Linked DNA regions of Alligator mississippiensis. The protein of the gene in region 4 interacts with the protein of the main gene of each other region in a biochemical or structural test. Links are inferred from orthologs where the notes say so. Each region holds a gene or a part of one and is shown on either strand. Other genes may lie near its edges. The genes, in order: DTL, CDC25C, ATR and CHEK1.

Region 1 (6,942 bases), on a different chromosome or scaffold from region 4:
ACACCTAGTTCAGATCTTATTCTGTATGACATTCACCTTTAAAGATCTGCTTGGTTTGAGATTCTGTATCGTATAGCCTGACAAAACCTTCTTCATTTGCAACTGCAAGTATGTGCTGCAAATCTGGAGCTGAAAGAGAAAAGAGTAGGATTCATTTCTGTGCATTAAAATAGCTTTCTCCTGGTCTTCTCCCCAAAAGAGAGAGCTACACAAACAGCAAGTGCATAAATCTGGAAATAATTAGCACTTACTTATGCTGTAAATACCTAAATTACTATGCATTTATATAGTGTTTAATGTGCAGGGTTAGTGATAGAATATTAATGGTTCTGAAAGGGGAAAATAGACAGCTAATGTGATTTGCCTGCTGTGTCTCTGCCACTAATCTAAAATTCCTCGCTGCTATAAACTGCTGAATAAGCAGAGGACAAAGATGACCAAGCAGAATGTCTCATCTCTAAATCTTACAGTATAAATTAGGGCTGTTAGTTAATTGCAGTTAGCTTACATGATTGATGCAAAAACAAATTAACATGTTAATTTTTTTTTAATTCTGTTAGTCGCACACCATTGTTGTGACCAGTGGAGTGGACCAGTTGGAACCCATGTGCACAACCTTGACCTCAGCCTGCCCCACACTCACCTGCCCATGCTAAGCAGTGGCAACAGCAGCTGGGCAGAAGCTGCTACTTGGCATGGGGGAAAAGCAGGCCTTCCCCTTCACCACTGCCCAGCCATTCTTGCTGCAGTGGCCCAGAGTCTGGGCCTAGGCTGCCCTGTGTCTCCTCTTCGCTGCTGTCACCACCACCTCCAGGCCATCCAGTGGGGCAGTGGTGGCAATACAGAGGAGCCACAGGGCAGCCTGGGAGTGGGCTCCAGGTTGTTGCAAGGAAAATCGAATCTGGTCATGTCAAGTTGACCAAACTCCCAGGAGTCTTTTCGAGATGACTCAAAATTGGCAATGATTGTGGCCTAAAGGTAACCCCAGTAAAATGCCAGGGAACATGGAACATTTAAAACAACGGATCAATAGTACCATAAAATAAACTGATAACGTGGTAATTTTGGGGAGTAATTAATTTGGGGATGGGAAAACAACAGGAAAATAATATTGTCAAGGTGCCAAGGCGTGCTATTGTATTTTTAGGATCCATGAGCCAAAATATTATATAACAAGCTTGGCTAGATAATGATTATGTCACTAAAGGGTTAAGCAGCCTAAGCAAGTGAAGTCAGTGTCCCTGTATGCTATCTGAACCATTTGCATGAGTTTCTGAGGGAGACATCTGCATGGATCTCTAAAGGAGGACCAAGCCTTTAGACTTGGAACAACAGCGCAACCCAGGAAGCTTTCCCAGAATGACCGCCTGAGGGAAGTAACTCCTGCATAACAGGTCTAGACAGACTGTGAAGTGGTGAAGAGTCACGTTAATGCATTCAGTCTTTGGTAACTAACTGCTTATATTCTGCCAATCCCAGTAAAATTGACTACTTTTGACTATTCTGGCAACCCCAGTTGATGAATTGTTTTGTGCTTAGTAGATGTTTTGTAGCCAATAAAGCTTCTGACTGTTTGTGGGATGAGTGCCTGTGGTTAATTACAGAGTTATCCCCGCCCACAGAGAAGTAGGGCTTAGATGAGCTTCCACCCAACAGGTATGGCTACAGCAAACAGCTCTGCAGAACTCCTTAAGTACCCAGCTGTTTTCAGCAGCTTTTATTTCAAAGGGTGGTGCTTCTCTGATCAGCTACGTGGAACTGCTCATGAGCAGTAGCTGATCTGTGCCCTTTAAAGTAAGTCAAGCAATCAGCTAAATGGCTGGCCCCTAATACAGTGACCCACACTGAATTAAACAGGTTTCAAACCAGCCCTTCAGGAAAAAAAAATCCAGGTTCTACTGCACTAAACAACAGCTTTTTCAGAGGGAAACTGCCATCCTACCACCTTGCATAGGTTTGTTCCATCATATTGTTAATCAGTTTACCTTGAAAACAAAAAACTAGGCTTTTGCACAGATCACGCGAAACAGCGCAGGGCATTTTGGCCTCAGAGCTTGTTCCTCTTAAGTTACCAGTTTTATTGTCCCAGGTGTAAAATGAGGCTTAATTTTTTTTTTAAAACAAAAGCAATAAAGCATGAAGAATAAACATCTGCTCCCCCGCACGCATGCAGCTTTGTCCCTCCACAGCACTCTCAAAAAGATCCCTTACCTGTAGGAAAGGTGCAGCCAAAGGGAGGGACTGGCATCCCCAGCTCTCCATAAGAGAGGTGGTCATCTTGTTGACTGCACTGATAGCAGTCTATGAGGTGCTGGAGGGAGTATTGCCAAGACGGGCCTACAAGGTCAGAGAAAGAATCCAGTTACCAGCCACTCGGAAATACAACCCACCGGCTCTCCCGGGGCCACAGCCTCATAAACAGCGGCTCAGCAGAGGGTCACAGGTCCCCACGGGGAACAGCGCCCCGCGGGTGCGGCCCCGAGCAGAGGGTGGCTCCGACCACCATCCCCTTCCTCCGGAGAGAAGCGGGCAAAGCTCCGGCTCCCGGCACAGGGCACTGGCTAAGGGGAGCCATCCGAGCCGCGGCAGCTGTGCCTGGGCCCGGGGTCCATGACTCACGCTGCGGGCCGCCGCGGGCACGGCGGAGAAGCGAGCGGCACAGCATGTCCTAGTTGCAGCCAAACGATAGCGGCACGGCGAAAACTCCCGCCAACGCGCTACCCGCCAAACCCCGCTCAAGCTCCTCATTGGACAACGCCCCATGGGGAAAGCTCGGCGGCTCCGCCCCTTAGTTCCCATTGGGCGGTTCGGCATAGCGGGCTAGCAAAGTCCCTGGTCCTTTCGGACGAGAAAGCACAAGTCTGTCGCTGCGCTTGCGCACTGAGTACTACCTCCTATCCGGCGGGAGTATGACTCCGCCCACGCATGGCCCGACCGCTGCTGGCTGAGAGGGGGCATACCCATATCCCGCCCGCTACACCCAACCACCCTGGTGGTGGAGTAAGTGCGCATGCGCCTCACTGAGAGTGGTAACTGCGCATGCGTGGCCGGAAGTCGTGTCCTAACTGTGGCAGCCCTCCGGAGAGCCATGGCTGCCGGCGCTGCCAAGTCGTTCCTGGCCGATGCGGGCTACGGCGAGCAGGAGCTGGACGCCAACTCGGCCCTCATGGAGCTGGACAAGGGTGCGGCGCCTACCCCGGGCGCCCAACCGCCGCCTCGGCGGGGGAGGGGCGGTGCTGTGGGGGCGGATCCGAGTCCGCGCTTGTGGCGTGGAGGGCGGGGCGGTTGCGTCGTACCCCCATTGGCTGCGCGCCTCAGCGGCCCGGGGCCCCGACTGGGCTGCGCGCCTGGGGGAGGACAGCCGCCCTAGGGTCGCCCCTAGCCTTTGTGCGGGTGTGCTGTGTTAGGTGTCCCCTTTCCATGCTCTAGTTGTTACCGTATGACTTCGCTCCCGTTCCTGTTTTCTTGGTGTCACCAGTGACCTCCCCTAAGGGGCGCTTAGTTTCCGTGATGGGTTGAAGCCCATGACGTCAGGGCATATCAAATAGGCCTGTTGCTTTTCACTTTCTTCCCTTACTTTATTAGTCTGCAGCCAGGCCCTGGCTCTCCCAGGCTGGGGCTTTTTTGTTCTCATTAGCACTGAGTTGTAGACAACTGTAGATGCTTCAGGAGAGACTAACCATGGCTCATTCTCCGCAGGGCTCCGGTCTGGCAAACTCGGGGAGCAGTGCGAAGCCGTGGTCCGTTTCCCCCGGCTCTTTCAGAAGTATCCCTTCCCCATTCTCATTAACTCAGCCTTCTTGAAGCTGGCTGATGTTTTCAGAGTTGGGTGAGTGGCATGATTCCCTCGTTGCTTCAAGCCCCCGATCCCCAAGTTCTCCCTTGTTTTCTCCTCATTGTATTTGGAGCCAGGGCAGTTGTCGCGCTGTGATTTTCAGACTGTGATCCCTGGAGCATTGCTCGCCACTGGTTCTGCAAAGAGGCTGGGGGTAACAGTGGAGCAAGATGGCGGGGTGGGGAGTGAGAGGCATGGGCAGTGTGTTGCCATTGCTGGGCAGATGATGTCCTGGCTCTGTATCATAGTGTTAGTCTTTGGGATAGGGGTGGGGGTCCCATGGCAGAAGAAGTGATGTGAAAAGTTTCCATGACTTCAGTAGGTTTGAAAACCACTGGCATTGCATTTGTGTTACTGCACAAATGCAATGCTAGCAGTTACTGCATTTGTGTTACTGCACTCTTCTGCTGAAAGAGGATCTGTCTCTGGAGCCTGCCAACCTCGTCCTTCGTGGGCAGGAGTGGCAGTGAAGGATTGAAAGCCATTTGTCATTCCATCCCTTTGCCATCTCATCTACTGAGGATTTGCCTCAGTTACCAGTGACTGATAAGCAGTCGTTGTGGAGCTGCTTTGGTGCAAACTGGTAGTTCTGAGCCTCAGGCCACAAGCTAGATAGCACTGCCCCAATGTTGGATGTGGACTGGCCCCACACCGTTCATCTTGCCCACGGGGCAGAGAGGTTGAGCACCACTGGTATAAGCCTTTAGGATCAAAAAGTTGAAATAAGAGACTGTTCTCCATTTGTGTTGTAAATAATTTAAGCCTCATCTGTTGCCCTTCCAAGTGCAAAATACTCACTGAAGACAGAATTAGAGGTGTTTGGTTGTAGTACATAGATACAGTATATTGTTCTGGTTATCATAATGCTTGCTGTATGCATATGCTGTATTTACCTGACTCCAAGACAGCCTTGAATTTAAGACGACTCACCCAATAATTCCATTATATACATGGAAAATGATAAATGTGTTAATTTTCCCCATATAAAATCTGATTATTTTTCATAGATTTCATAGACATTAGGGCTGGAAGGGACCTCGGAAGATCATCGAGTCCAGCCCCCCACCCAAAGGGCAGGAAGTCAGCTGGGGTCATAGGATCCCAGCAAGATAAGTATCCAGTTTCATCTTGAAGGTGTTCAATGAAGGCACCTGAACGACCTCCGGTGGCAGGCTGTTCCAGACCTTAGGGGCTCGGACAGTAAAGAAATTCTTCCTTATGTCCAGCCTGAAACGATCTTGTAGTAATTTGTAACCATTCGACCTCATCATCCCTTGGGGCGCTTTGGTGAACAAACGTTCCCCCAGATACTGGTGGTCACCCCTGATAAACTTGTAGGTGGCCATCAGATCACCCCTGAGCCTGCGCTTTTCCAGGCTAAAGAGCCCCAGGGCTCTCAGCCTGTCATCGTAGGGTCTGCTTCCCTGACCTCTGATCATGCGCGTGGCTCTTCTCTGGACTCTCTCAAGCTTCTCCACATCCTTTTTGAATTGTGGAGCCCAAAACTGGACGCAGTACTCCAGCTGTGGCCTCACTAAGGCCGAGTACAGGGGGAGAATGACGTCCCGGGATTTGCTTGAGAAGCATCTATGGATGCAAGCCAGCGTTTTGGTCGCTTTACTAGCCACAGCATCGCATTGCAGGCTCATGTTCATCTTGTGGTCAATGATGACCCCCAAGTCTCTTTCTTGCATAGTGCTAGCCAACATAGCACTGCCGAGCCTATAAGGATGCTGCGGGTTTTTTTTCCCCAAGGTGGAGAACCTTGCATTTATCGGCGTTGAACACCATCAGATTCTCATCCTCCCACTTGCTGAGCCTGTCCAGGTCAGCCTGGATCACCCGCCTGTCTTCTGGTGTGGATGCTTTGCCCCAAAGTTTGGTGTCATCAGCGAACTTGGCCAGTCCGCTTCTGACTCCAGTGTCCACATCGTTAATGAAGATGTTGAACAGTATGGGTCCAAGGACAGAGCCCTGGGGGACCCCACTGGTCACAGGACACCACGATGAGTGACTTCCATCAATTACTACCCTCTGGGTCCGACCCCAGAGCCAATTTTCCAGCCAGTGGATCGTGGAGGACCCAACGCGACAATTGGCCAGCTTCTCCAAGAGACGATCATGGGACATCAGATCGAAGGCTTTTTTGAAGTCAAGATATATGACATCAATCTCATCTCCCTTGTCCAGGTGATAGGTCACCTGGTCGTAGAAGGAAATTAGATTGGTCAAGCAAGACCTACCCGCAACAAACCCGTGCTGGCTATCCCTTAAGATGTTGGCGTCGGCCAGTCCATTAAGGATGGCCTGTTTAATAAACTTTTCTAAGATCTTCCCCGGGATAGAAATCAGGCTGATGGGCCTATAGTTAGCCGGATCCACTTTCCTCCCTTTCTTGAAGATAGGCACCACATTGGCCTTCTTCCAGTCTTCGGGCACTACACCAGAGCGCCAAGAGTTTTCAAAGATCCGCGCTAGAGGCTGGGCTATGATGCTCGCCAGCTCCTTGAGTACCCTGGGGTGAAGATTGTCAGGGCCGGCTGACTTGAAGGTATCCAGCTTCTCAAGATGTTCCTTCACGAAGTCAGCATTAATGGAGGGCAGGGGATCACCCTCACCCGGACTTCCCGGCCCAGTAGCGGGCATGGGCGTCCCATGGGACTGATGAAAGACCGACGCAAAGTACCTATTTAATAGGTTGGCTTTTTCCTGGGCGTCAGTTGTCAGTTGCCCCATCTGGTTCAGCAGGGGTCCAACGTTGCCCCTGCTTTTCGTCCGGCTCCCCACATATCGGAAAAAAGGACTTTTTATTGTCCTTGATGCTCAAAGCTAGCTGGAGTTCAGTTGCAGCCTTGGCTTTCCTGGTCTGCTCCCTACAGGACCGGACCAGTGCAGAATAATCCTCCTTGGAGGTGACTCCCATCCTCCATCCTTTGTAGGCCTTTCTTTTTAGCCTCAGGAGGTCTGCTAGGTCCCTGGAGAGCCAGGGGGGCTGCTGTGCCCTCTTGCTGCCTTTCCTGCGAGATGGAATAGACTTAGTTTGTGCATTGAGGATCGCTCCCTTGAGGAGCAACCACTCTTCTTGAACTCCCCTCTCCCTGTGGTCA
Region 2 (7,844 bases), on a different chromosome or scaffold from region 4:
GGTCATCTCAGACTCCAGGCTTCTTACATCCTAGCAGGGAAGAGGAGAAGAGTTTGGGGCTGCAGTGGTACCCAGCTCCCATACCTTCTCTGTCGTGTTTTCCAGCACCAACCACCAATCCAGAGAAACTCCGGAGAGTAGAGGCAGACTCCCTACAGTGCCTGCGTAGCCTCACTGCAGGGAGTATTTTCTAGAGCTTGCCTGGAGCAGAGTGCATGATCTGCCCCAGGGTCAGAAGAGGAATGCTTGTTCCCACTCCAGTTCCTGATTCTGTACTGGAGTCAGGGCTTCATTTGAGGAACAGACGGTACTCATGGTCAGAGAGGGACGATCTGATCTAGCCCAGCTTCTTCTCCTTCCCCTCTCGTAGGAGGAACCCTCACCCAGCCCGAGCTCTGTCGCTGTACTGCTACCCACTCCGTGGGAGGGAGTCACTGGATTCTGAGGAGCTGAGCTGTTAACTCACCAGCGGAGCAGTAAGGCAAGTCAGAGGATCCATCACTTCCTTATGGAACAGCAAGGGCTTGGACACATGCCATCCTGGATGCTTAAACCAGCCCCCCTCCTGAAACGAGAAGGGTCAGGAGCTCTCAGCTCTCTGGCTCTAGGAGGTGCTGAGAACTACCTTCAAGCCCCCACCCCTCAGGTCAAGAGCCCAAGGCAAGTTCAGCTCCAACCCTGGCATTAAGCAGCCACTGGGCACTGGCTGTGAGGAGGGTCACCAGCATGGTGGGTGGGTGAGAGCAGGAAGGGAATCTAGAGTTCCTGGAAGACTGCAACCCTCCCAAAAGCAGCACTTGCAAAACACTGTCGTGTCGTAGGGAACTCCAGTACTGAGACTGCTCCAGCCTGCCCTTCGCTGGTCCAGCAGGGACTCACCTTTGCCATGCTCATCAGGGGACTGGCCATCTCACTGCTCTCACAGTACATGGCGCCTGGTGTGCTGCACCGTACCTGGGGCTGGAACGGACAGGAGGGAACGCTCACTGGAGACAACTGTAAGCATAAACTCAGAGCTGCAGCCAGCATCCCAGCGCACCGACTCGCCACATCTCCCAGACAGCAAATCGCCTTTCTTTGAAGACGAAAAGGTACTCACCGGGAGAGACCTCAGACACTGCCTCTGCGACTCTCTGCAGGAAGAAAGATAGCCAGTCAGTGTCCTGGCCCCTCTTCCTGGCCAGCTTGCACTGCCCTGGGACAGGGCTCCCATCCCTACCTGCATCCTCCCTCGCATCCACAGAGCCCTTCCCAGCCCCGTGACAGCGCTCAGCGACAATTCAGGACACCTGTGACACCCCGCCCCCGCCAGCAGGATCATGCCATTTTGCAGGGAGGACAGTTTTGGAGGCCACGCCACGTGTCAGCGGCAGTGCTGCGACTTGAACGCGGGATCCTTTCTGTCATCTTACACCCTTTCCCCGTTTGTGCTGAACGGGACACAGCCAGCTGGCTGGAGACTGGCAGGACAGCTCAGAAACTACTCACTCGTTTCTCTGGTTTCCAGATTCTGGTGTCAACCCGAGTAAGAAATAACACCAAATCCAACACAGCTGGCACCCGCGCATCAGCCTCTGTGCAAACATCACCTGTCCAGGTCCAGCAGGTGCTAGACCTGGAAGAGGCAGGTACTGCAGACACCCAACCGCTGCGGGACGAGCAGCCGCTCTAGGCTCTTTAGGAACTCGTGCATTGTCCGCGCTCAGCAGGAGCTGTCCAGATGGGGACAACACCCGAACGGCACGGACACGCTGACAAGCGAGTCAACAGCCGTTTCTGACAGCATCCCAGCCACACGTGCCGAACGGGCTGGACCGTCCCCTGAATGGGCAGGCGGGCACAGCAGCGAACCAACAATACTACCATCTCTGTTCCTCGGCTAACCGCTTAGATGGGCAGGGGTTGTGTTGAAATGAGATTCAAGTAGGAGGACAAGGACTCGGCAGCTGAAAAGCCACAGGCCAACGCTAAAATCAGCGCAGCTGGAAGGTTTGTAAGACAGGACAGCCGAGGCAGAGACAGATCCACTTCAGCGCGCTCTGCGCAAAGGGAGAGCCCTGGGCCAATCGACCCACTGCGAACACGCAAAGAATAGCTGTGCTTCAAACTGCCGCGCAGTGCCGCCACCGCCCAGACTCCCAGCGTCGTGAAACAGGCTGGGCGCGACACGGTCCGAGCCAGCAGAGCCCTAGCCGCTGCCCGGCCAGAGGCAAGGACGGCTCGCGGGACGGGACAGGACGTCCGCCCGGCCCGACCCAGCACTCCTGACCCGGGCACAAGACACGCCCGCCACCGCTCGCAGCGGACGAGGAGCCTCGGGAGGGACAGGCCCCGCTCGCAGCACGGCGCAGGCTGCCGCGCAGAGACCGCCGGCCCCGCAGCAGCGAGCAGCCAGGACACTTACGGCCCCTGCCCGCGTCCCGGCGCGTCCGTCCGGCCTGCAACTGAAGAGACACAAGTAGGCGACACCCGCAGCGAGCGGCCGCGCCGGGCACGAGCCACAGCGAGGCGAAGGCGGCCGGCACCAGGGCGGGCCCGGGCAGCTGGGAACGCCCGGCAGCCCCGGCCCCCGCCGCGGCCCAGCGCGCATCCTCGCGGTCCGCCGCGCCGCCACGAGCGCCGGGCGGCGGGGCAGGGGCCGGGGGGCGGCGGCGCCTACCAGGCTCGGGCCCGCCCGGGGACGGCGCGAAGCGGAAGACGGTCATCTCCTCGCCGGCGCTGAGGTCGGACAGGTCCAGGCAGCAGCGCGGCGTGGCCCTGCGGGGAGAACGCGCGAGCGGCTCAGGGCCGGGCCGGGCCGGGCCCCACGGGAGGCGGCGGCCCGCGCGGAGGCCGGCGAAGCGGCGCTCACCCGGGCGAGGCGCGGAGGCCCCGGGCGAGGTCCGGCGAGAAGGGCAGCGAGAGGTCGGCGTCCCGCAGCAGCCCCAGCACCATGCGGCAGCCGGCGCGCAGCCCCAGGCGCGACCCGCCCCGCCCCGGCGAGCGCCGCCCCGACATGGCCCGCGGAGAGACCCCGCGCCGCCCACTTGAATGTAAATAGAACCCGCCCCCCGGCCCTGCCGCCCCGCCCCCCGGCCAATCAGCGCGCTGCTCTCCGCCCCTCACCAATCAGCGCGCTGCTGGGGGCGGGGGAAAACAAACCCCAGAGCCGCTCTCCGATTGGCTCGCTGCGCTGCCCGCTATTGGAGCCCGGGCGGGCAGGGCTATTGCCATTGGGGGCTTCCGCCGGCGGGCGGGGCTTCGGGCGGCCAATGGCCGCACGCGGGCGCACGTGGAGCTTGTCGACGCCGCACGTGGGCGTGGCGCAGGCGCCAAGAGGCGGCGCGGGCCGGGCCTGGCCGGGTCGGGCGGTGTCGTACATGCTGCCCGTCGCCTCCTCCCGGCCCGCGGCGGGGCGCAGGTACGGCCGCCCCGCCCCGCTCCCCGCGGCTCTGCCGGTGCCCAGCCCGGGGTCTCGGTCCCGGTCCCGGCCGCGGCTGTGGCACAGGCTCCCGCCCGCCGCGTCCGGGAAGGCAGCGGGGCTCGGCGCAGGGAGACCCGGGCGCTGCCCGCCTGGCGGGGGTCTCCGCGCCGACCCTTGCGGCCCCCGGGGGGCGCGGCATGCCCGCCCGCGGAAAGGCGGCGCCGGGGCGGGCGGGGGAGCGGCGGCGGGCTCGGGTGCCGGCAGGCGGCTGTGGGGGGCGCCGGTCCCCCGCAGAGACTGGGGCGGGGCGGGAGCGGCGGGCTGGGTGAGGCAGTTGCGCGGTGTGACGGGTGCGGCTGCGCGTCCGTGCGCCCCGCACAGCCCGGAGCGCCCCGTGCGCGGAGCAGCGGCTCGCCGCGCCCGTAGCTGCGAAGCGTCCGCTCCGATGCCCGCAGGAAGGGAAGGGAGGGAGCGGTTCCTCCGCAGGTCGCCCGGGCTGTGACGCCAGCTCCGGGTGTGCGCCGAGCCCTGTCCGCACCCAGCAGCGGTGCCGTTGCGCGGCGCCCTTGAAAGGACCTGGTGCGCGTGGAGGGATCCCGCGCGCCCCTGGCAGACCTCCGTGCTTCGGGCCTGAGCTCCCGCGGAGCCGGGGCTCCGTCCCCCGGGGGCCCCGTGGCGCAGCTCCGGTTCCGCGTCCCGGACCCAGCGGTTGACTTGGGGGAACGCGGCGCGGCGCCTCCGTCGGTGACACAAGCCCCCTGGACGCTGCGGGGTGCCGCTGAGCAAGCTCTTCTCCCCCGGAGCAGGCCCGTGTCCTCCGAGCCCGTTTCTTTCCGAGTTCGCATGGTCAGCGTCGGGGTCGGCACGTGGCCCAGCCCAGCGCAAGGAGCCGGCTCGGGATGCAGGTGTGGTGGTCTCTGCCAGGGACGTGGCTTGTCCAGGCTCGGGTCTCGGGTCTCCGGTGCTGACTGGGTTCCTGTTCCCCAGATCTGACATCGAGACGGATGAGAGCACCCTGCAGCGTAGGCAGAAGCAAATTGATTATGGGAAGAACACCCTGGGCTACCAGCGCTTTCTGCAGCAGGTTCCCAAGTGAGGGCTCTTTGTCTTTCACCTCCTCTCCCCGTGCGGGCCTGCTGGCTCTGGCCACAGGCCCTCGGCACAGGGGAGACGTCAGAGCTTGCTCCAGAGCAGGGGCTCCCAAGCTGCACCCCTGGGGTGTGCAAGACATGTGAGGGGTACCTGAGAGAAACTGGGTAATGGCAACTTGAATTTCCATTATAATAATAATAATAGGCGTGAAAGGGGCAGCTGGCAGATCTGGGAGGGGGCACGCAATAAGACAGTCTGGGAGCCCTGGCTCTGGAGCGCCTCTTCCTCCTCGCTGACCCTGCCGACGGGCAAGTTGCTCTTCCTGCCCCAGGGGACGGCGGGGCCGTTCTTGTCCTGTTCCCGCTAGGATAAGGGGTCTTGTCCCGAGGTGGGAGGATCTGGCCCTTCCTCATGACGAATGCGATGCTGTATTTGTAGGTCCACTCGGCAGGCAGAGGTCCACCCTCAGACCCCAAACAAGTACAAGAAGTACAGCCGCCGCTCCTGGGACATGCAGATCCGGCTGTGGAGACGGGCCTTGCACGCGTGGGACCCGCCCAGCCAGCATCCTCTCCAGTGCCACCAAGGACTTGAGAGGGAAGTGTCTGCCAGGTGTTTGGCTCCTCCAGAGCCTTCCAGGGGGAGTGCTCGTGCGGCAGGGTGACGGGGCAGCTTGTGCCCACGCTGGGCTGGATGGTGGTCTCCTTAGTGCCGCCTCAAAACGCTCGCTGAGTGCGGCTGCCCTTACACCTGCCCGTGCAGATGGCTCGAGACGGTCAGTGAATGGGGCGTTAACGTGCCCAGGCCTCCAGTTGTCAGGGGCCCACTGAGACTTGGCGCCTTATGATACTGGGCAGCGGGTGCTTTGCACCTCTGGAAGGAGAGGGGCTATGCAAAGAAATCGTGTCGTGCACAGTGTTGGGGACGCGTTCGCACGTCTTGACGTGCACCATGTGCCGTGGAAACTGGTTCCCTGCGTTGTGTGGAGTTACCCGGGCATCTCCGGTGCTGCTGGGGAGGGGGGCAGAGCTGGGGAACGGGCCTTCGGTTGCTGGGTCTGATTAGAGAGCAAAGACTGGGTGCAGTGTCCCACGTGGCTGTGCATCGGTGTGTTCTGGGGAGCAATCCTGCCCACCGTGGCTGGGGCTCAAGGGAGAGAGACTGCTGTGCCTCCCCGCAGCTCTGAGCCCTGGTGTGCCCCAGCACTTGCTGCTGCTGCCTCTCTCTTTGGGGTCAGTGACTGGAACTGCTGTTTCCTTGCAAGACAGGGCCTGGCAGCTCTCTGCAGCGCTGGAGATGGAGACAGACCCTTTGTGTTGCCTCTCTGATCACTGGCTGGGAGCCTTGGCTTGGCCTCCCCAGAGCCTGTCCAGAGCAGCACTAGGAGAGGTAGGCGGGGGATGCTGGTGGGGTGCGGGGGTCCACGGGGCAGGAGGCTTTCTGCGGAGGGATGGTGGGGCTGAGCAGGGGGCGCTGGGGGCGGGGAAGAGTGGTGGAAGGGATCAGCGGGCCTCGCTCGGGGCCTGGCCTTGTGCCTCTCTCTTGGATTGCTTTCCTGTTCCCGTCGGGCTCACGCTGGTTCCCCCTCGCTCAGCTGGCGGCTCTGGGCCCCTCGTCTCCTTGCCTGCCCCCCGAGGAGGATCCCGGCAGGCTGCACGTCCGGGGAGACGCTGCTTGTGGCTGGGGCCGCGTGTCCGGGGCGTGCGGCGCACCCCGTCTTCCGCAGCCGGCTCGGTGGGGGCCGCCGGAGCCGGAGCCTGCGCCCTGACGCAGCTGCTGCCCGGGCTCCTGGCCCCGGGGAGCGGCGGGAGCGCGCTCCTGGCCCGGGGGGGCGGGCCCTTGCCTTGCCCCCGGGCCGAGGGGACGCGGGCCGCCGGCCGGGGTGAGCGCCGGGCCGCCCGCTCGGGCGCAGGGAGGCGGCGGGGCCCTGCCGCGGGCGGGCGGGCGGGCGGGCGGGGGCCGGGCCGGGGTGAGGGCGGCGGTGCTGCGGGCCCCGGGGCCGGGGCGGGCGCGGCGATGGCGATGGCGGCGGCGCGGACTACACTTCCCAGGGTGCCCGGGCCGCGCGGGCGCTGCGGGCTCGGCCGGGCCCGGGTGCGGGGAGCCCGAGCCGGCGGCGCCCGCGCGCCCGAGCCGGGCGCTGGACGAGGTGGGAGCGGGCCCGGGTGCCGGGCGCCGGGGCCCCGCTTGCCCGGGGCTGGTGGCCGGAGGCTCGGCGGGGCGCTGTCGGGCGGCGCGGGGCAGGGACCCCGGCGTGGTGTCGCAGGGGCGGCGGCGGGGATGGCGCGCGCGGAGCCCCGGCCGGGCGGGCCCAGGAGCGGCGCGGCGGGCGCTGCCCCGGCCCGGCCCTGCTGAGCGGCGCGGCGCGGCGCGGCGCGGCGGGCCTGGCTCGCGGGAGCCATGGTGCCGCTGGTGGCGGAGCAGCTGCAGACGCGGGCGCTGGAGGAGCCGACACGCGCGTCCTTCGGCATCCGCCCGGTAAGAGGTTTCCCGAGCGCGCCGAGCAGGCTCAGGCCCCGCGGGACATGGGGCCGACATCGTGCTGGCGCTCCGGGGCGGGCGGCGGGAGCCGGCAGGGCCGTGCGGGGTGGCGGGTCGCGCCCGGAGCTGCGGGGGAAGCTTGCCGCAAACCAGGCGGGTCCGGCCGGCGCCGGGCGCTGCGGGGTCCCTGGGCGTCCCGCGGCGCGAGCTCGGGCCGGGGCCGGGGCCGGGGCCGGGCCGGGGCTGTTGTCTGCGCTGTGGCGGTGGCTGCTGGGCGATGGGCGATGGCCGTGCCTGGTGGGGCTCAGAGGCGTCTCCTTGGAGGAGCGCTTTGTGACCCCCCTGGGATAGGGACGGAGTTTCTTCGGGGAGGGGGAGCCCCTGCATCCTCCCTACGGGGGTGGCCTTTTTGTAACGATCCGGATCTGGTTTTTCTCCCAAACAAATTAAGCACGCTGAGATGCTCTTGCACCCTGGCAAGGGTCTCTTACAGGTCGGGCAGCCTCTGCTCCCTCGCTGCTCCCAGTCACCCCTTCGGTTGTTGCCTTTGGGGTGTAACTGCAGTCGCCACCTTTGCTGCTGTTCGCATTTTCTTAAGCAGCAGCATGAACCCAGCCCAGCTGGGATCGCAGTTGGCCATAGGTCTGCTGCCCCGTCCCTGTGGCCGGAGCAGGACAGACGGGGGCGTGGGAGCCGCGGGCTCCAGAGAGAGGAGCAACAGCAGCACGTGCTGGAGTCAACAAGTTGCTCTGTGTAATGTCACTCTGCTGGGGCAGCTAACTTGCAATCGGAGCGGTTGAGCGGCCATCAGTTCCAGGACTGCTCCTGTCCTTGCCCTTGCCCTTGCCCTTGCCTTGCTTCAGGCTCC
Region 3 (7,947 bases), on a different chromosome or scaffold from region 4:
AATTAGCCTAACTTCTATCCCAAGGAAAATCCTAGAAAAATTCTTCAAGGAGTCTATGTGCAATGGCTTTGTTGTGAGCAGGTCTTGTCTTAACAATCTCATCTCTTTCTACAACCAGGTAACTCGCCACCTAAGTAAAAGAGAGGAGGTTGACACTGTTTACCTAGACTTCCAAAAGGCCTTTGATCTACTTTCCCACAATGGTCTCACAGGGAAATTGGAGGATTATGGGCTTAACTGTTTGACAGTTAGGTGGGTAGGAAGCTGGCTGCGGGGTAAGACCTATAGAGTTCTAATGAATGGATCTGTGTCGCCTCAGTGAGAAGTGGTCAGTGGTGTCCCTCAGGGGTCCGTGCTTGGTCCAGTGTTTTTCAACATCTTTATCAATGATTTGGATGTCGGGGTGACGAGCTCACTGACCAAGTTCGCAGACGACACCAAGTTATTGGGTAGCATGGTCACACTTCAAAATAGGCTGCAGATACAGGCAGACCTAGACAGGCTGGCAAATTGGGCGGATCGGAACCAGATGAAATTAAACTTCGAGAAGTGTAAAGTGCTCCATCTGGGGATGAATAATCCCCAACATACTACTTACAAGCTCGGTGGTGCTCAACTGACTAGCACCCAGAGCTGTCCCTAGGGGTGTGTGGGGCCTGGGGCATATCAGCCTGTGTGGGGGTGCGGTGGAGTGGCTGGACCGCGGAGCAGGCAGCGCGCAGAGGCCGCAGAAGGGCCTGTACAGCAGCCACCCCACTTGCCCACCCCTAGGGACAGCCCTGCTAGCACCACGACTGAAACTATAACTATTATTACCTAGGGGTAATAATAGAACATAGTATAAACATGAGCCATCAGTGTGCTGCTGTAGCCAGCAGGGAAAACAATACTCTGCCATGCATCAACTAGAAATCTTCAAGAGACTGGATAATCACCTCGTTGGGGTCACCTGACCCCAGCTGTCTTTCCTGCCTAATGCAGGGGGGCTGGACCCAATGATCTTGTGAGGTCCCTTCCAGCTCCTAACAATCTATGAATCTATGCCTGCCTGCCCACTCCCTGTATCTCCACTGCTCCCTCCACTGCCTGCCCCATTACTGCACCCCTACCACCTGCCCTACACGTTCCCCTTCACTGTCTGCCCCATTACTGTCGCCTCATTGCCTGTCCCCTTGTCACCTGCAGGGGTGGGGGCGTGAATTTAAGATGATTCCCCAATAATTAGATTCTATACAGGGAAAACTATAATAAATGTATACATTTTCCACAGAGAATTATTGGGGGGTCTCTTAAATTCAAGGTCATTTTGGATTCAGGTAAATATATAACTTGTTGCAGCTCTTGGAGAGGCAGCAGTCACTTGATCCACCACCAAATTTCTAGCTCACAGGCAGCCCCATGGGCCAGATGACAGCTCCCTGCTCTGTATCCAGCATATGGGGTTGGAAATTTGGTATCAAGACAAGCCACAGCAATTAATCTTGCCACTGCTCACTCTTACTAACTTTCTAATTACATGGGACACATGACATGGTTCCACTGATGGCATGTAGCCTGCAGTGGCTCCACTGATGGCATGTAGCCTGCAGGCTGGATCTTTTGACACCTCTGATTTAGCAAGGGCTACAATAAGTTACAACAGCATTCTAAAATTAAAAACTAAAGATGCCAAAATAAGAACTCAATCCTGCAAAATGTTCAAATAAGGAATGGCAGGATTTATTTCTTCAGCGAACAGAGCACATTTATGATGCAGCCTCCTTGCTTTTTAATACATCATTATATGTGTATGTACATATATTCGCACATGCACACATGCAGTGCTGTAGCAAAGGGCTGGAGGCAAATGGGGTGACTGCCCTGGGTGCCAAACCGAAGGGGCGCCAACAGGATGGAGTTGCGAACAGCTCATTTGGGGAGGCGTGGGGACGGGAAAGGGTGGCTCCCCCACCACCGCATGCACTCCCAGACAAACACTGATGAGGGGAACGTGTGTCCCACCCTGCCCCCTGCAAGCTGTGCGAAGGATAAGGGCGAGCTGTTGCTGTGGGTTTGCCCCAGGAGCCAAACTTCCTTGCCACAGCACTGCATACACATGCACAGATGTGCATGTAGATCAGGGGTGGGCAAAATGCAGCCCGCCGGGTCATTTTATCAGGACCACGGGGTCCCTAAAACATTTAGAAAATAAATATTTATCTGCCCCTGGCTGCTTGTCATGTGGCCCTCAATGGCTTGCCAAAACTCAGTAAGCCCTCAGCCCGAAATAATTGCCCACCCTTGATGAAGATCTATGGACACGCACAAGCATATGCACAAGCACAGGCATGTGCAAAAGCATACACAAGTATGCACACATGCAGGCACACACAAGCACTTACACTAGCATTTATTTAGACAGTTGTAGTTCACTCAACTCTACTGGTGTTCCTAGAAACCCTGTCATTATACAAATAAACTGCTTCAGGTCTGCTAAGCCTTTGCTGGGAGAAGACCCACAGGTTTGTTCCCAACCAAGGGAGCTTCGCCCCACTCTCGGCAGCGGGGGGTGCGCCCTGAAGCCCCGTTTCCCTTACCCAGGTCCACATCCGTGAGGATCCTGTCAACGAACTGGCCGAGGATCTGCCTGGGCTTCTGCACCACGCTGGGGTAGTCCTCGGGCCCGGCGCTGCGGGGGAAGAAGGGGCGCGTCAGCACCACCCGGTGCCCGAGCCGGCTTTCAGGCTGGGAAACATCGGTGCCTCCCTGAGCCCGGCCACAGCGCCGCTTCCCCGGCCTGTCCCGCCGCGGACACGGCGCTGCGCTGCTCCGCGCGGGTACCGCTGTGGCCCGGCCGCTCGGGGCGCTCATGGCACAGAGCAGTGGACCCAGGTGCCCGCCCGGCCGCACCTACCTGCCCAGGTCGCGCAGCGCCGGGATCATAGAGGCCATGCCTAGCCCCGGCTCCGCCATCGCGCCCAGCGCGCCACTGCTCGCGGGGGCGGGGGCGGGGCCAGCGCTCGGGACGGCGGCCGGCGCGGACCAACACGCCTCGGTTGGCGCGCTGCACGAGCACAAGCGACTTCCCGTGGGGCAGCGGAGCATCACGAAAGCCACGCGCCAGCTCCGCGCGCGCGCGACGCCGGGGCCGGGGAGTCCGGGCTATGGGCGGGTTGCAGGGCGCCCCGTGGGGGTTTAGGCAGCTCAAGAGGTCCCGGCTGAGCGGGAGCAGGTCCCGGTCACCCCGGGGGCTCTGGGCGGCGCAGCCGGCCCCACGCGCGGCACCGGCCAGAAGTAACTAGGAGGGGCTGGGGCCGGGGCAGCTCCGCACGTGGCAGGGGGGCAGGCTCTCAGCAACTTAAGGCCCGGGGGCTCTAGGTGTCTCAGCAGGTGCCGACAGGCGGCTCCACGCCCAGCCCCGCGAGGGGCGCTGAGCTCCCCACTAGTCCCCGGGAACGCAGGAGCCCTGGTGCCTCCGCATGCGAGGGGCGGGGCGGGGCAGGGGCAGGGCGGTGGGAGCCCCAGGGAGATGAAGGCGGTGCTCGCTGTCCCCATCGCCGCCGGCAGCAGCGGGACCCGGCAGCCCCCGAGCGGCCCGCCCACCCCAGCGCGATTGGCGCTGGCAGCTGCCTGTCCGGGGGATGCGGCGGCGCCCACAGCAGGTGTCTGCTGGATCCCGGCAACTCTTGGTGCAGCCGCCGCCGCCGAAGAGGCTCCGCGGACGGGGCCGGGGCCGGGGCCGGGGCCGGAGCAGCTGCGGGCAGAGGTAGGGACGGGCAGAGGCTGGGCAGCGGGGAGCGGGCTGCGCTTGTCGCCCCTTCACTTGCCTGATGAGATGCGTCCGCGGGGGTTCCCGTGGCGGGGGCAGGATCTTGTGGCACGGATCAACTTCTCCAGTCTCTTCTCTGTGCCCAGGCGGGCGCTGCTCTTCCCGGGAGGCTCTTTTAATGTAGTATGTGCGAAAACTAGAGGCCGCTTTTAAAAAGTGCAGTTCATTCTTCGGAAGACAAGCTGTACTAGGTAAGGCGGGAGAGGGGATAAAGTGCTGGAAAAGCAGTGGCCCAACAGTCCTGTCAGACATCTCCCCCCGACAACCTCCTCCCTCATGCCAGGGGGAAAATTAAAGACACTTTTTATGAAAGGCAGTAGGACATGACTGAGACTGTGAAGCTCTTGCACCTCTTGCCTTTCCGTATGTAAACAGTTTTTCCAGACTTCAGGAAATACACAGAAAACTATTTATTTGTATGTGTCTACTGATGTCTACATATTCTCCTGGATGTTACTGTCTAAAGGGAAGTGACCTGACTTGGGCTTTCTTTATTGAGGAGGGCAGTTGATTGTGTTTGTTTTATGAAGTCTTGCCTGCATTGTTGACAGTGTTGCAGAGAAGCACACACTGAAATAAAATCCTCTCTGTGGCTTCTGTTTCTGGTGCCTGTTTCCACAGCTATGATGCTTTGAATTTTGCATGTAAAACAGATGAGGAAATTGAGCGAGCATGCCTGTGTTCCAGTTATTGAATTGTTAGTGATGGTTACCAGTTCTTTTTTTTTTTTTTATTCAAAAGTGGTTGCACTCAGTTACATGCATGCCTATATTCGTACATCTGAATTTAACTCTCTGTTTGTCGAGTATTTTCAAAGCCCTAGTGATACCATGATAAGGAACTGTGACATTTCAAAAGATTTTGAAACACTTAATTAGGATTAATCTTCATTTGTTTCTCTTTCCTTTTTGCTACTTATTGAACATATTAGATGTTAACTCTTGAGAGCCGCTCCCAGTCAGCAAACAGGAGACGCAGGCTTCATGGTGTCTGCGTTACATAGATTTATAGTCATAGATGTTTGGGTCGGAAGGGACCTTAGCAGATCATTGAGTCCGACCCCTGCCCTGGGCAGAAAAGAGTGCTGGAGTCAGACAACCACAGCCAGGTGTATGTCTAGCCTCCTCTTAAAGACACCTAAGGTAAGGGAGAGCACTACCTCCCTTGAAAGCCATTCCAGTTTTTGCCAACCCTTACCGTAAAGAAGTTCTTCCTGATGTCTAACCTAAATCTGCTCTCCGTCAATTTGTGGCCGTTGTTCCTAGTTAGCTCAAGGGGTGCCCTGGTAACCAGAGCATCTCCTATTCCCTGCTGTCCCCCCCCCCCCCGATGAATTTGTAGGTGGCCACAAGATCACCTCTCAGCCTTCTGTTGTTGAGGTTGAAGACCCAGGGCCCCCAGTTTCTCCTCGTAGGGCTTTGCCTGCAGGCCCCTAACCATGTGAGTGGCCCTCCTCTGACCCCTCTCCAGGTTATCCACATCCCTTTTGAAGTGTGGCACCCAAAACTGGACAGAATACTCCAACTGCAGCCTGACCAATGGCACTTTATGGCATGGGAAGACCAGAAGTCAGAATGAACACGTCTGGAATTACAGTGGCAGATCCTTCATGCACATAGTGCTGCAGAATTTAAACTTTATTTAATTAAAAGTCCAACAGCTTTCTAGCCTTTATATTTGTAAAGAATACAAACTGTCTTGGTAAGTCTGCAGAAAGCAGAAGTAATCACTTATGAATTGTACTGTTGTGCTATACCTGTGACAGACAGACAGTTTTATTTGTCAGTATTGTTAACATTGTAATAGTTGATGGTAACTTTAGGAGAAACTTTAAGCTATCTGGAGATTCCAGGAGTTTGGCCCAGTACTGGGGTTTTTTATTGCTATTCTAATTGTAAACCAAAATGGGAGAATGGCACAAATGTTTTGGGTCATATGATTCTCTTCTCCAAGTACACTATACATGGAATACAATTCAGACACCTAGTCTGTATGGCATAATGCAGTGCTGTACAGGAACCCAAGCTAGCTCTTAAACTTCTAATGATCAAAAGCCTCATTACCACCTTTTTCAAGCCCTATTGGTAAATATGTTTGTGCTTACTTTGCCCGTCTGTTAAAAAATCTCTAAAGGCTACTAATGGCATGAGATCTTGCTTAAGCTGGTACTCAAATTCCAGTGTGGTACCTGAAGTAGAGAAAAATTCTAGAGGTTCCCCATGTCTTTTTACAGGCCCCCAAAAGCCAGACCCATTCCTGCTTCAGTATCCAGTAGAGGGAGCTGTTCAGGGAAAGAAGTATACGTTCTGACTTCCAACAAAAAAAAAACCTTTAAGAATAACCAAGAGCAAACAGACAATGAGCAGGATAATAATTTATTTTGGTCGAGGATAATTTCTTCCATTTTCCTTTGCCACGTTGCTTCCTGCTCCCCTGTTTCCCTTTTCCCAGGTCCTTCTCCTTGTCTTTCCATATAATTTCTCCTTTTCCTACTTTGTCCTATTTTTCACCTTGTTTTGTTTCTTCTTCATTCCATTGTCTCACACTTTTGTGCCCCATGTTCTTTCTTTCTGTCTGAAGAACTATGACCCAAATGGATGCACAAAAGGAGGAAGTGCATTGTGGCTGAACACACAGTTCAAATTTTTCTTCTCCTAGTGAAAATATATCCATTCATATCTGTGTAGTGAGTGTTATCCTTATTGTTTTGTACCTCCCATATGTCCACAACCCTCATCCAGTGTCAGTGTGGATTTGTGCAGGTAGCAAAAACTGTGTGAGATTGGAGAATCAGTGTATGCACAAACGTAAAGCTTCCTGCCAGAATCAACAAGTTGTATACACTAAGAACTGTTCTCTTCCCCCTCATTTCTCATTTGCATAAGGGCCAAAGAGCTGATCCCTTGATCCTCTGTCTTCTATCCCATGCTGTCCTATTGCCCTTCCTGCCGTATGCTTAACAGTATCTTAGAGTGAACTGGGTGACATTTTAATTAAGTTAATTTTGACTTGGAGCAAAAGAGCGACAGCTGGGGTCTACTCTAGTCTAGTCATTTGGTTGTGAGCTGGTTATGAGAGAAACTTGGAGTGTTGATCCACACCAGAATCATTTTCTCGGTTTTGTTAATATGGGTTCAGTGCTGACAAAGGTGGTCCTGAAAAGTGGGCATTCTGGAGCTATATGAAGAGGACCAACCACACCAAGACAGTTGCTGTACTATCACTGCTGCCTTTACCAGAAAATTTTCACTTCTCTTTAAAGTCAGAGTAACTTGGATGTCATTGTTCAAAATGTCAGTCAGGATGGTGGAATGAATAGTCATGCACTGCAATAAGTTAATTTTTATTGATACTAAGGCTGTCCTTATAACTTATTGGTTGTTTGCTCTGGTGCTTTAACTGTACCTGATAGCCTGTATGATAACTGAGGATTTAATTCCATATATGGTCATGAAGGTGCTAACCTAGTTGGCAGAATGGTTGATAGACCTTTGAACACATTGGCTTGGATATTATTCTGTACATCATAAAAATATCTGTTCAAGGAAAACTCAGCTCTTTTTCAGTGCCACCTGGTCTGAGTAGAACAAAGTAACACAGATTTAAATGGCAGAAGGGTTTGATCATTAAAATAAATCCAACTCTTGTAGAATCATTTTGATAATTTAAAACACAATATAATAAATTAAGAATTATTTTGAAGAAATAATTTAAAAAATGTAACTTGAGTAAGCATCTCGACTGGCAAACAGAATGCAGGTTGGTACAAATTCAACTACAGGACAAAATAGAATAGGTAACAGTAAGGAAAATATAAAATATTGAGATCTAGTGAAAGGTGTTTCCTATCCCCTTTACCCTTTACATTCATATGCTGTCTGTATAGGCCTTCATTATGCAAATAGGGACAATCTGTTCTTTAGCATGTTTGTAACTTTGCATGATGAATGCATTAGATTAAATTATTTGGGATTGGATTCTCTCTTACCTATATGGAAAATGCCTAGCACCTGTTTTGGTTTCTATATCATAATTTGAATAACTTAACATTAAAAAAGATGTATAAAGGGTATTTGAATTATAGTAGAAAACATCATGTTTGCAGAAGAATAACAGGCATGCCTAAATCCTGTGAGCCA
Region 4 (7,711 bases):
GATGTTGCAATCCATCCCAACTTCCAGATCATTAATGAAGATATTGATCAAAACTGACCCCAGGACTGACCCCTGGAGTACTCCACTTGATGCCAACTATACATCGAGCCATTGATTGCTACCTGTTGAGCCTAATGGTCCAGCTAGCTTTCTACCCACTTGACACTTTTCATCCAACCCATGCTTCCTTGACTTGTTTTTCAAGAATGCTGTGGGAGACTGTATCAAAATCCTTGCTAAAGTCAAGGTATATCATGTCCACTGCTTTCCCTGCATCCACAGAGCCACTCATCTCATAGAAGGCATTCAGGTTGGTCAGACTTGACTTGCCCTTGGTGAATCCATGTTGATTGTTTCTGATTACTTTTTTCTCCTCTAAGTGCTTAAAAATGGATTCCTTGAGGCCTTTCTCCATGATTTTTCTGGGGACTGAAGTAAGGCTGACTGGTCTGTAGTTCCCTGGATCCTGCTTCTTCCCCTTCTTAAAGATGGGCACTCTATCTGCCAATCGTTTGGGACCTCCCCCGATCGTCACAAATTTTCAAAGATAATGGCCAGCAGCTCTGTAAACATATCAGCCAACTCCCTCAGCACTCTCAGATGTATTGCATTCAGCCCCATGAGCTTGTACGCATCTGTTTTTTCTAAATAGGTCCTAACCCATTCTTTCACCACTGGGGGCTGCTCACCTGCACCCCAAACTGTGCTGCCTGATGCAGTAGTCTGGGAGCTGACCTTACCTGTGAAGACTTGAGGAAAAAAGGGATTGAGCACTTCAGCCTTATATCATATGTCACTAGGTTACCTCCCCTATTCAGTAAGCGACCCACATGTTCCATGACCTCCCTCTTGTTGCTAACGTGCTTGTAGAAACCCTTTTTGTTACCCTTCCTGTCCCTTGTTAGCTGCAACTCCAACTGTGCTTTGGCCTTCCTGATTTTATCCCTACAAGCCCAAGCAACACTTGTACTCCTTCCTAGTCATCTGTCCAAGCTTCCACTTCTTGTAAGCTTCCTTTTTGTGTTTAGGCTCACTGAAGAGTTGCCTGCTAAGCCAAGCTGGTCGCCTGCCATATTTGCTATTCTTCCTGCAGTTCGGGGTGGTTTGTTCCTGTGCTCTCGGTGAGGTTTTCATTACAATACAACCAGCTCTCCTGGACTCCTTTCCCCCCTCAGACTGCCCCCCCCCCCCCCCCCCCCCCCATAGGATCCTGCCCATCAGTTCCCTGAGGGAGTCAAAGTCTGCTTTGAAGTCCAGGGTCCATACTCTGCTGTTCTTCCGAGCCCTCCTCTCCTTCCTTTTGTCAGGATCCTGAACTTGATTATCTTGTGGTCACCGCTGCCCAAGTTGCCATCCACTTCTGCATCCCCCACCAATTCTTCCCTGTTTGTGAGCAGCTGGTCAAAAAGATCATGGCTCTTGGTTGGTCTCTCCAACACTCGTACCAAGAAGTTGTCTCCAAAAACTTCCTGGATTACTGATGCCCTGCCATATTGCCCTCCTAGTTCCCCATGAGAACCAGGGCCTATGATCTGGAAACTTCTGCTAGTTGTCCAAAGAAAGCCTCATTTATTTCATCCTCCTGATCTGGTCATCAAAAACTTAGGGAACTGAAGTCCACTCCATGACTGGGTAGACAGGGTTCTTTAAGACTGGTTGACAGTCAGTCTAGGACTGGAGCCTCGATTGAACAAATGGACGATCTCTGTTCCAGCAGCTCCTGCGGCCCAGCTGGTTCCAAACATACTGCCGCCTGCCTCTCCTTTAGCGTAAACCAGCAAGGCTGGGAGGAGAGGGGGACGCTAGTGTGTGGACAGCTCAGTGTCTCCATATACACCGCCCAGGCTTGTGCACCTTGGAGAGATCACTTCAGCTTCACTTTATCTTAGCTTATGCAGGGGGTCGGACTCGATGATCTATTGAGGTCCCTTCCGACCCTAACATCTATGAATCTATGAATCTTTCAACCACATATTACTTTCAGCAACCTAATGTCTTGGCATAATTCTATTGTCTTGTGAGATTGGCTAATAGTTCCAAATGAATAACTTCACACGTTCACAGTGAAAAGAGATGGCAGGTGCTTATCCAAAAATCCTTATATGGGCCTATATTTCTGCCTGAGAAGACTGTTGCATGTTTAATAAGAAAAATGGATGAAAAACCATACTGTAATTCTTAATGTGGTTTAAACCCAAACCAAGTTGTCAAATAATGCCATTATGTCCCCATTCTTTCAAATAGGTTCCATGCTCATAGTGATATGTATTAAAAATTCATATTTCTATGCATGTGTATCCCTGATTAAGTTCTGTATGTTTGACTAAAGTAATGTTCCATAGTGAAAACTGTCATTTCACTTCGTCTGCCTACCCTCATTAGTAAGCAGAGGGTATAACTGTCTGAAGGGCTACTTGAGAAACAGGGCCTCCAGGGTGGGTCTCCCTACCCAGAATTTACTACTAAACCGGTACACGTGGTATAGCTCCTGGATGGCAGCCCTGGGTGAGATCCCTTCCCACGTCACTGGGCCAGGTAGTAGTTCCCCAGGTTGGTTTACTGCTAAGATTGTGATCAATTTTGAGGTACAGTTAAAGGTTAATAGTTAACATTTTGCTTAGGGTGTCCCCTTGTTCCCTTTTTCCCTTGTAATAAATCTGTTTTAATTTAACATTTGCTTGCAAATGGGCAGGTTTTGTTCATGGTAGAACACCCAGTACACATTTACTTTACCAAATTTCTGGGTTGGGGCTTGAGGTAAATTTGAAAAGTTGGTATAAAACCCCTATATTTGTATGCAGCCATTCTTACTGCTGTCTAGCACCTGGCGAAACAGCAATGTGCAGGCCTTACAGGGTGGGTATCAATTGGCAGGCTGGTACTCAAAAACCAAGCTTCAAGTTCAAGCAATGACCTGCCTAGGCTTCTTTAAGAGAGTCCCTTGGTGGTGGTGATGTGGGTTTTGGGGTGATCTAAAGTGGGTTTTGCCCCATAACTCCAGCCCAAAATAAGATATTTGTATAAAGCAATGTACCTAGCATGCAGGTACTGGCAGGTGGGTGGCAGGTGGGAGGCTGGCACTCAAACCAAACATTGGGTCGAGCATGGACTAGCTCAAGCTTCTTCTAGAGAGTCTCTGGGTGGTGAAGAGGAGTGTTTTGGGGTGCTCCAAAAAAGATTTTGCCCTATAATCCCAGCCCAAAGTCAGCTTCTTATTCACAGGAACATACATAGCACACAAATCTGGGAGGCTGTCGGTTGGCAAGCTGGTGCGCAAAAACTGAGCTGTGGGTCAGGTAGTGCTCTGCCCAGGCTTCTTCAGGGGAGTCCGCTGGTGACAGACGTGTGTTCTTGGGTGACGGGGAGAGGATTTTACCTGATATCCCCAGCCCAAATTCAGTTTCATATTCAGGGCTAGGTACAGAGGACATGGGCTTGGGGCCTCAGTTGTCAGGTTAGCACTTGCAAACTGAGCCTTGGGTCGGGCAGGCTCTACCCAGGCTTCTTCAGGAGAGTCCCCTTGAAGGCAGAGACATTTGTCTGGGGTGACTCAGAGAGGTTTTCCATCAGTAATCCCAGCCCAAACCTAGCTCCTTATTCAGGCCTGGGGGCCTGTCTAGGCAGCCTGGCACACAGAAACCAAGCTTCGGGGTGGGTAGGACTCTGCCCAGGCTCCTTGGGAGAGACCTCCTAGGGTGGGGACGTGTGTTGGGGGTGATCCAAGAAGGATTTCCACCCATTATCCTAGCCCAAACCCAGTTCCTAATTGAGGCCTGTGAGTGGGCAGCTTGGCCTGCAGAAACCCAGCTTCGGGCCGGGCAGCGCCCTGCTCAGAGCTGTCCCCTGGTGCCATAGGCGTGTTTTGTGGTGGCCCGAAAGGGATTTGCCACAGCCTAATTTCAGGGCTATGTACTTGATGCATGATATTATTTTACAGTTTTATTAGCAACTATCCATTGATGAAGTCCTGATTCTTCAGTCAGCATCATTCATGACTAACAACCTTGAACAGTGTAAGGATTCGCTTTGAAATGGGACCTGGGAACAAGTAGGGCTGCCAACTCTGCTTGAACCTATTCCGAGAGGTTTCTGGGCCGCCGCCATGCCCGCGACATGCGCCGCCCCGCATGCTGCTGTACATCGGTTACGGATGACGGCACGTGGACTTCACCTCAGGAAGGCAAACGCACCTTACTATTACGTTTTAAAAAGCCACCGGACCGCGAAGAGCGCGCGCCTTCGGAGGCTGGGAGGTGGCAGCGGTGTCGGGGGCGGTGAGTGGGGACTGCCTACGGTGTGTCAGTGTCCAGGGGCCCGTGAGCTGCCAACCTCAGGGGGCACGTGCCCCCCCCACGCGTTGCCTATGCAGTGGCCGACGGTAGAAACAGGATTTCACATGTAATATTCATTTTAATGGAGGCCCATCCCTAGGTCTCCGGGTGGCTTTCAGCGCTCTGCCGGGCACGGGTTTCTAGCTCCTGCAGACCCCGGGGTAATCCTGCAGGTTTGGCGACGCCCGAAATAAGGAACCGGCTTCGCTTCCCGCCAGCCCGGGGAGATGGAAGGGGGCGGGACCCGGCCGGGGGCGGGGCGGGGCGATGGAAGGGGCGTGGCCCTGGCCGGCCGGGGGGCGGGGCGGACGGAAGGATGCGGCGGCGGGCGCCGCCATTGGGCGGGAATCGCGGAGCGGGCGCTCGGGGTGGGGGCGGGGCTGTGCTGCGCTCCTCTCGCCGTACCGTGCCGTGCCGTGCCGGGCGGGTTGGTCTGGTCCGGTCCGGTCCGGGTCCGGGCGCCGCCGGCCGCCATGGCCGTGCCCTTCGTGGAGGACTGGGACCTGGTGCAGACGCTGGGCGAGGGCGCCTACGGAGAGTGAGCGCGGGGGCGCGCGGGCAGAGGCCGGTGTCCAGCGGGAAGCGGGCGCTGTCAGGAAGGAAGACATGAGGCGGGGCGGGGCGGGGAGCGCGGGCGGCCGGCGGTGGCTCTGCGCCGCTGACGGTGGCGGAGACAGACCCCTTGGGCTGAGGTGGGGTGTAGCCGGTCCGACCCCGCGGCCGTGTGTGTGTGTGTGGGTGTGGGTGTGGGTTCCGGCCGGGCGCTGCGCGGGGACCGTGTGTGTGTGTGTGTGTGTGTGTGTGTGTGTGGGGGGGGGTTGTGGTTCCTGCCGGGCGGGGAGGGGGGCCTGCTCGAGTTGAGGCTCATGAGGGATGTTTCTCGTTTCCCTGCAGGGTTCAGCTGGCCGTCAACAGGCGCACGGAGGAAGCCGTTGCCGTCAAAATAGTTGATATGAAACGTGCTGCCGACTGTCCAGAAAACATCAAGAAAGAAATTTGTATTAATAAGATGCTCAATCATGAAAACATCGTGAAGTTCTACGGGCACCGGCGAGAAGGCCACGTCCAGTACCTCTTCCTCGAGTACTGTCGAGGGGGGGAGCTCTTCGACAGAATAGGTAGAGCACATCGAGCGGCTTCCCGCGCCGCCCGCACGCGCCGATCTGCCTTCCCGCGCCCCCCAGCTTGCCACGCGCGGGGTGTTTAGCTGGTGTGTCCTCCTGGCAACATGTAGATCCTGCTTAGCATGAGTTTGTGCGCCTCAAGGAAGTCTCCATCGAAATTGGCAAGAATTTCTGTACACGGTTAAGTTCACATCTGTCAATTATTGCTTAATCCCACTAGAAGTTCAGCGTCATGGTTTTTCACGGGGAGAGATAATTTAAACAAGTAAACTATGCCGACTTGAGAAATTCACTCAGCTGGGATTAATAAGGCCAGTGTTTCCAGTTTCTATATATTCTGATATTTCATTTCAAAGGAAAAAAACCTAGTCCTTATGGTTGCAAAAGTCAGTCTTCTGAAAATAAACAGGGTGAAGTGAGATACAGACGTCAAGAAAATATGCTCGTATGTTAGACTTCTAGTGCCTTTGCTGCAGCTCTTGGCTTTCCACCGAACCGATGTGTCAGTCTTAATTATTACTATTTGCGTTCTAATGAGCAGCAGTAGAGCCAGAAGGAAATTGGTTTCATTCTACTGTTGGAAAGATCTGAGCAACAGTTAGGTACCAGAAATGTCGATAGTTTTTGCACAGGATAGTTTTGCGTAAGCAGAACCTGGCGACTTGTTTAGGCAGTGGTCATCAGCAACCTTTAGGCTGCAGGCTGGAGTGACCCAGTTCGGGTCAGAGGTGGGTGTAGGGGCAGCTGAAGCCACCTGCTGCTGAATCCTGCTGAAGCTTCATCGTCCTGGGCTGTCTCAGATGGCTCTGTGAGCCACAGATGCTCACCCCTGCTTGTAGATGTTGGGGGCAATATCTTGCATTAGCCAAAAGGATGGCGATATGGAGGCTTGCTTCTAAGGTTAATGGGAGCTGCCTTATTGCTTGTCTGCCCTTGGACAAGAGGTCATCCAGCTCTTGTATAGGTCTCTTGATAACTCTGCCAATTAGTTTAGTGTTAAAGCTTCTGTGCCCTTTGTGGAAGGAGGAGGAGGGAGATGAATTTGGGGGTTGAAAGCTTCTGAGGGGGGAAAGAGACGATATGGAAAGGAACAAACAAATATATTAGAGGACAGAAACATTGGCAAGATACTCTTTTCCCTATCATGTTTGTTTGTGATGCTAGAAGTGTGTGGATCTTTTTTTTTTTTGTTAAGTGGATTCTGAATGACTTTTTTCAGAGCCTGATGTAGGAATGCCTGAATCAGATGCACAGAAGTTTTTCCATCAGCTTATTGCTGGGGTGGTAAGTATTTGCCTTCTACATTTATTTAAAACTTTCATTTGGGATCATATAAATCATAAGATTCAAGATTCTCTCTCTCTTTCTTTTTAAGGTGTATCTCCATGGTATAGGTATAACCCACAGAGATATTAAGCCTGAGAATCTATTGCTAGATGACAGAGGTACGTCTAGAGCTAGTTATTTTGTTTTCCCTTTAAATTTTGGTGGTTAGGTGTACAAGGGAAGAAGAAAGTCTGTGTCTGTTGGTGAAACTGAAAACACTTCAAGCTTTCTGAGGATGCTGCAGGCTTAAGAGCAATCTAGTTGAGCAAAAGTTGATTCATGCTTCCAGGACTTGCATTCATTCCCCTGCCCACATGCAAATTTGGTAAACCTGTCTAGGTGTTCTGGAGCAGAGGCTGGTCTCTGCAGAGATGCCGGCACCTTTTCAAAGAACATTCCTATGGAAAAATGATACCTTCTTGAAAAGCTGTTTCTACAGAATTTGAGGAGTGATAGAAATGCTTCTAGGACCTTTGGGTAAAGCTTTTATTAAAACTTTTTAAAACAAAAATATTTCTTGTAGGGTCCTAGAACCAAAATATTACAGTATGGATCTAGGATCTGAGAAACTGGAATAGACTAATGATGTGGATCCTTCCTCTGCTTTGCCAGAACATTGTGTGATCAGGTTACAGTGGAAAGAAAAAATAGCTTTCCACAATTTTAATTTTAATAATCGAAGATGACATTGGGGTGGGGGAACGGACTTTTAAAAACAGCCGTCTTTCCTGGCTGTTCCTTCTAAAACAAGAAATCTCTGCGTAAACTGTTAGTATTTTTTCCTTATAACACAGCTGTGTCTGGATCAAGTGTTTTGTTTCAGGCTTCAGGTCATTTGTTCAAATTTCCTGTGGTCTATAACCAAAAAAATGAATATATCTGATCTTTATTTATATCAAGGTCCCTCTTTGCTTATCTGGCAAAATGGTG

Evidence for each region.
Region 1: of the proteins of CHEK1 (region 4) and DTL, one has a biochemical effect on the other in vitro, tested with the Homo sapiens proteins (2 studies listed by BioGRID). The link is inferred for Alligator mississippiensis from reciprocal best matches to the Homo sapiens genes CHEK1 and DTL.
Region 2: of the proteins of CHEK1 (region 4) and CDC25C, one has a biochemical effect on the other in vitro, tested with the Homo sapiens proteins (16 studies listed by BioGRID and IntAct, with this or other methods). The link is inferred for Alligator mississippiensis from reciprocal best matches to the Homo sapiens genes CHEK1 and CDC25C.
Region 3: of the proteins of CHEK1 (region 4) and ATR, one has a biochemical effect on the other in vitro, tested with the Homo sapiens proteins (7 studies listed by BioGRID, with this or other methods). The link is inferred for Alligator mississippiensis from reciprocal best matches to the Homo sapiens genes CHEK1 and ATR.

Annotation. Positions count from the first base shown.
Region 1 is NC_081824.1:190,023,334-190,030,275, forward strand, and holds the start of DTL (denticleless protein homolog), read right to left. Parts: upstream 3,004-6,942; 5' UTR 2,965-3,003; coding exon 2,892-2,964; intron 2,834-2,891; exon of another isoform or gene 2,666-2,833; coding exon of another isoform or gene 2,620-2,665; intron 2,338-2,619; coding exon 2,212-2,337; intron 130-2,211; coding exon 37-129; intron 1-36. Other genes in the region: INTS7 (integrator complex subunit 7), read left to right, coding at 3,011-3,182, 3,700-3,829. UniProt on the Homo sapiens protein: Substrate-specific adapter of a DCX (DDB1-CUL4-X-box) E3 ubiquitin-protein ligase complex required for cell cycle control, DNA damage response and translesion DNA synthesis.
Region 2 is NC_081832.1:79,615,494-79,623,337, forward strand, and holds the start of CDC25C (M-phase inducer phosphatase 3), read right to left. Parts: upstream 3,013-7,844; 5' UTR 2,998-3,012; coding exon 2,852-2,997; intron 2,758-2,851; coding exon 2,660-2,757; intron 2,445-2,659; coding exon 2,405-2,444; intron 2,385-2,404; exon of another isoform or gene 1,587-2,384; coding exon of another isoform or gene 1,489-1,586; intron 1,134-1,488; coding exon 1,100-1,133; intron 997-1,099; coding exon 880-996; intron 566-879; coding exon 467-565; intron 31-466; coding exon 1-30. UniProt on the Homo sapiens protein: Functions as a dosage-dependent inducer in mitotic control. Tyrosine protein phosphatase required for progression of the cell cycle. When phosphorylated, highly effective in activating G2 cells into prophase.
Region 3 is NC_081830.1:56,496,768-56,504,714, forward strand, and holds the start of ATR (serine/threonine-protein kinase ATR), read right to left. Parts: upstream 3,001-7,947; 5' UTR 2,953-3,000; coding exon 2,894-2,952; intron 2,669-2,893; coding exon 2,577-2,668; intron 1-2,576. UniProt on the Homo sapiens protein: Serine/threonine protein kinase which activates checkpoint signaling upon genotoxic stresses such as ionizing radiation (IR), ultraviolet light (UV), or DNA replication stalling, thereby acting as a DNA damage sensor.
Region 4 is NC_081839.1:21,788,211-21,795,921, reverse strand, and holds the start of CHEK1 (serine/threonine-protein kinase Chk1), read left to right. Parts: upstream 1-4,703; 5' UTR 4,704-4,804; coding exon 4,805-4,869; intron 4,870-5,225; coding exon 5,226-5,449; intron 5,450-5,485; exon of another isoform or gene 5,486-5,577; coding exon of another isoform or gene 5,578-5,635; intron 5,636-6,674; coding exon 6,675-6,739; intron 6,740-6,830; coding exon 6,831-6,900; intron 6,901-7,711. UniProt on the Homo sapiens protein: Serine/threonine-protein kinase which is required for checkpoint-mediated cell cycle arrest and activation of DNA repair in response to the presence of DNA damage or unreplicated DNA.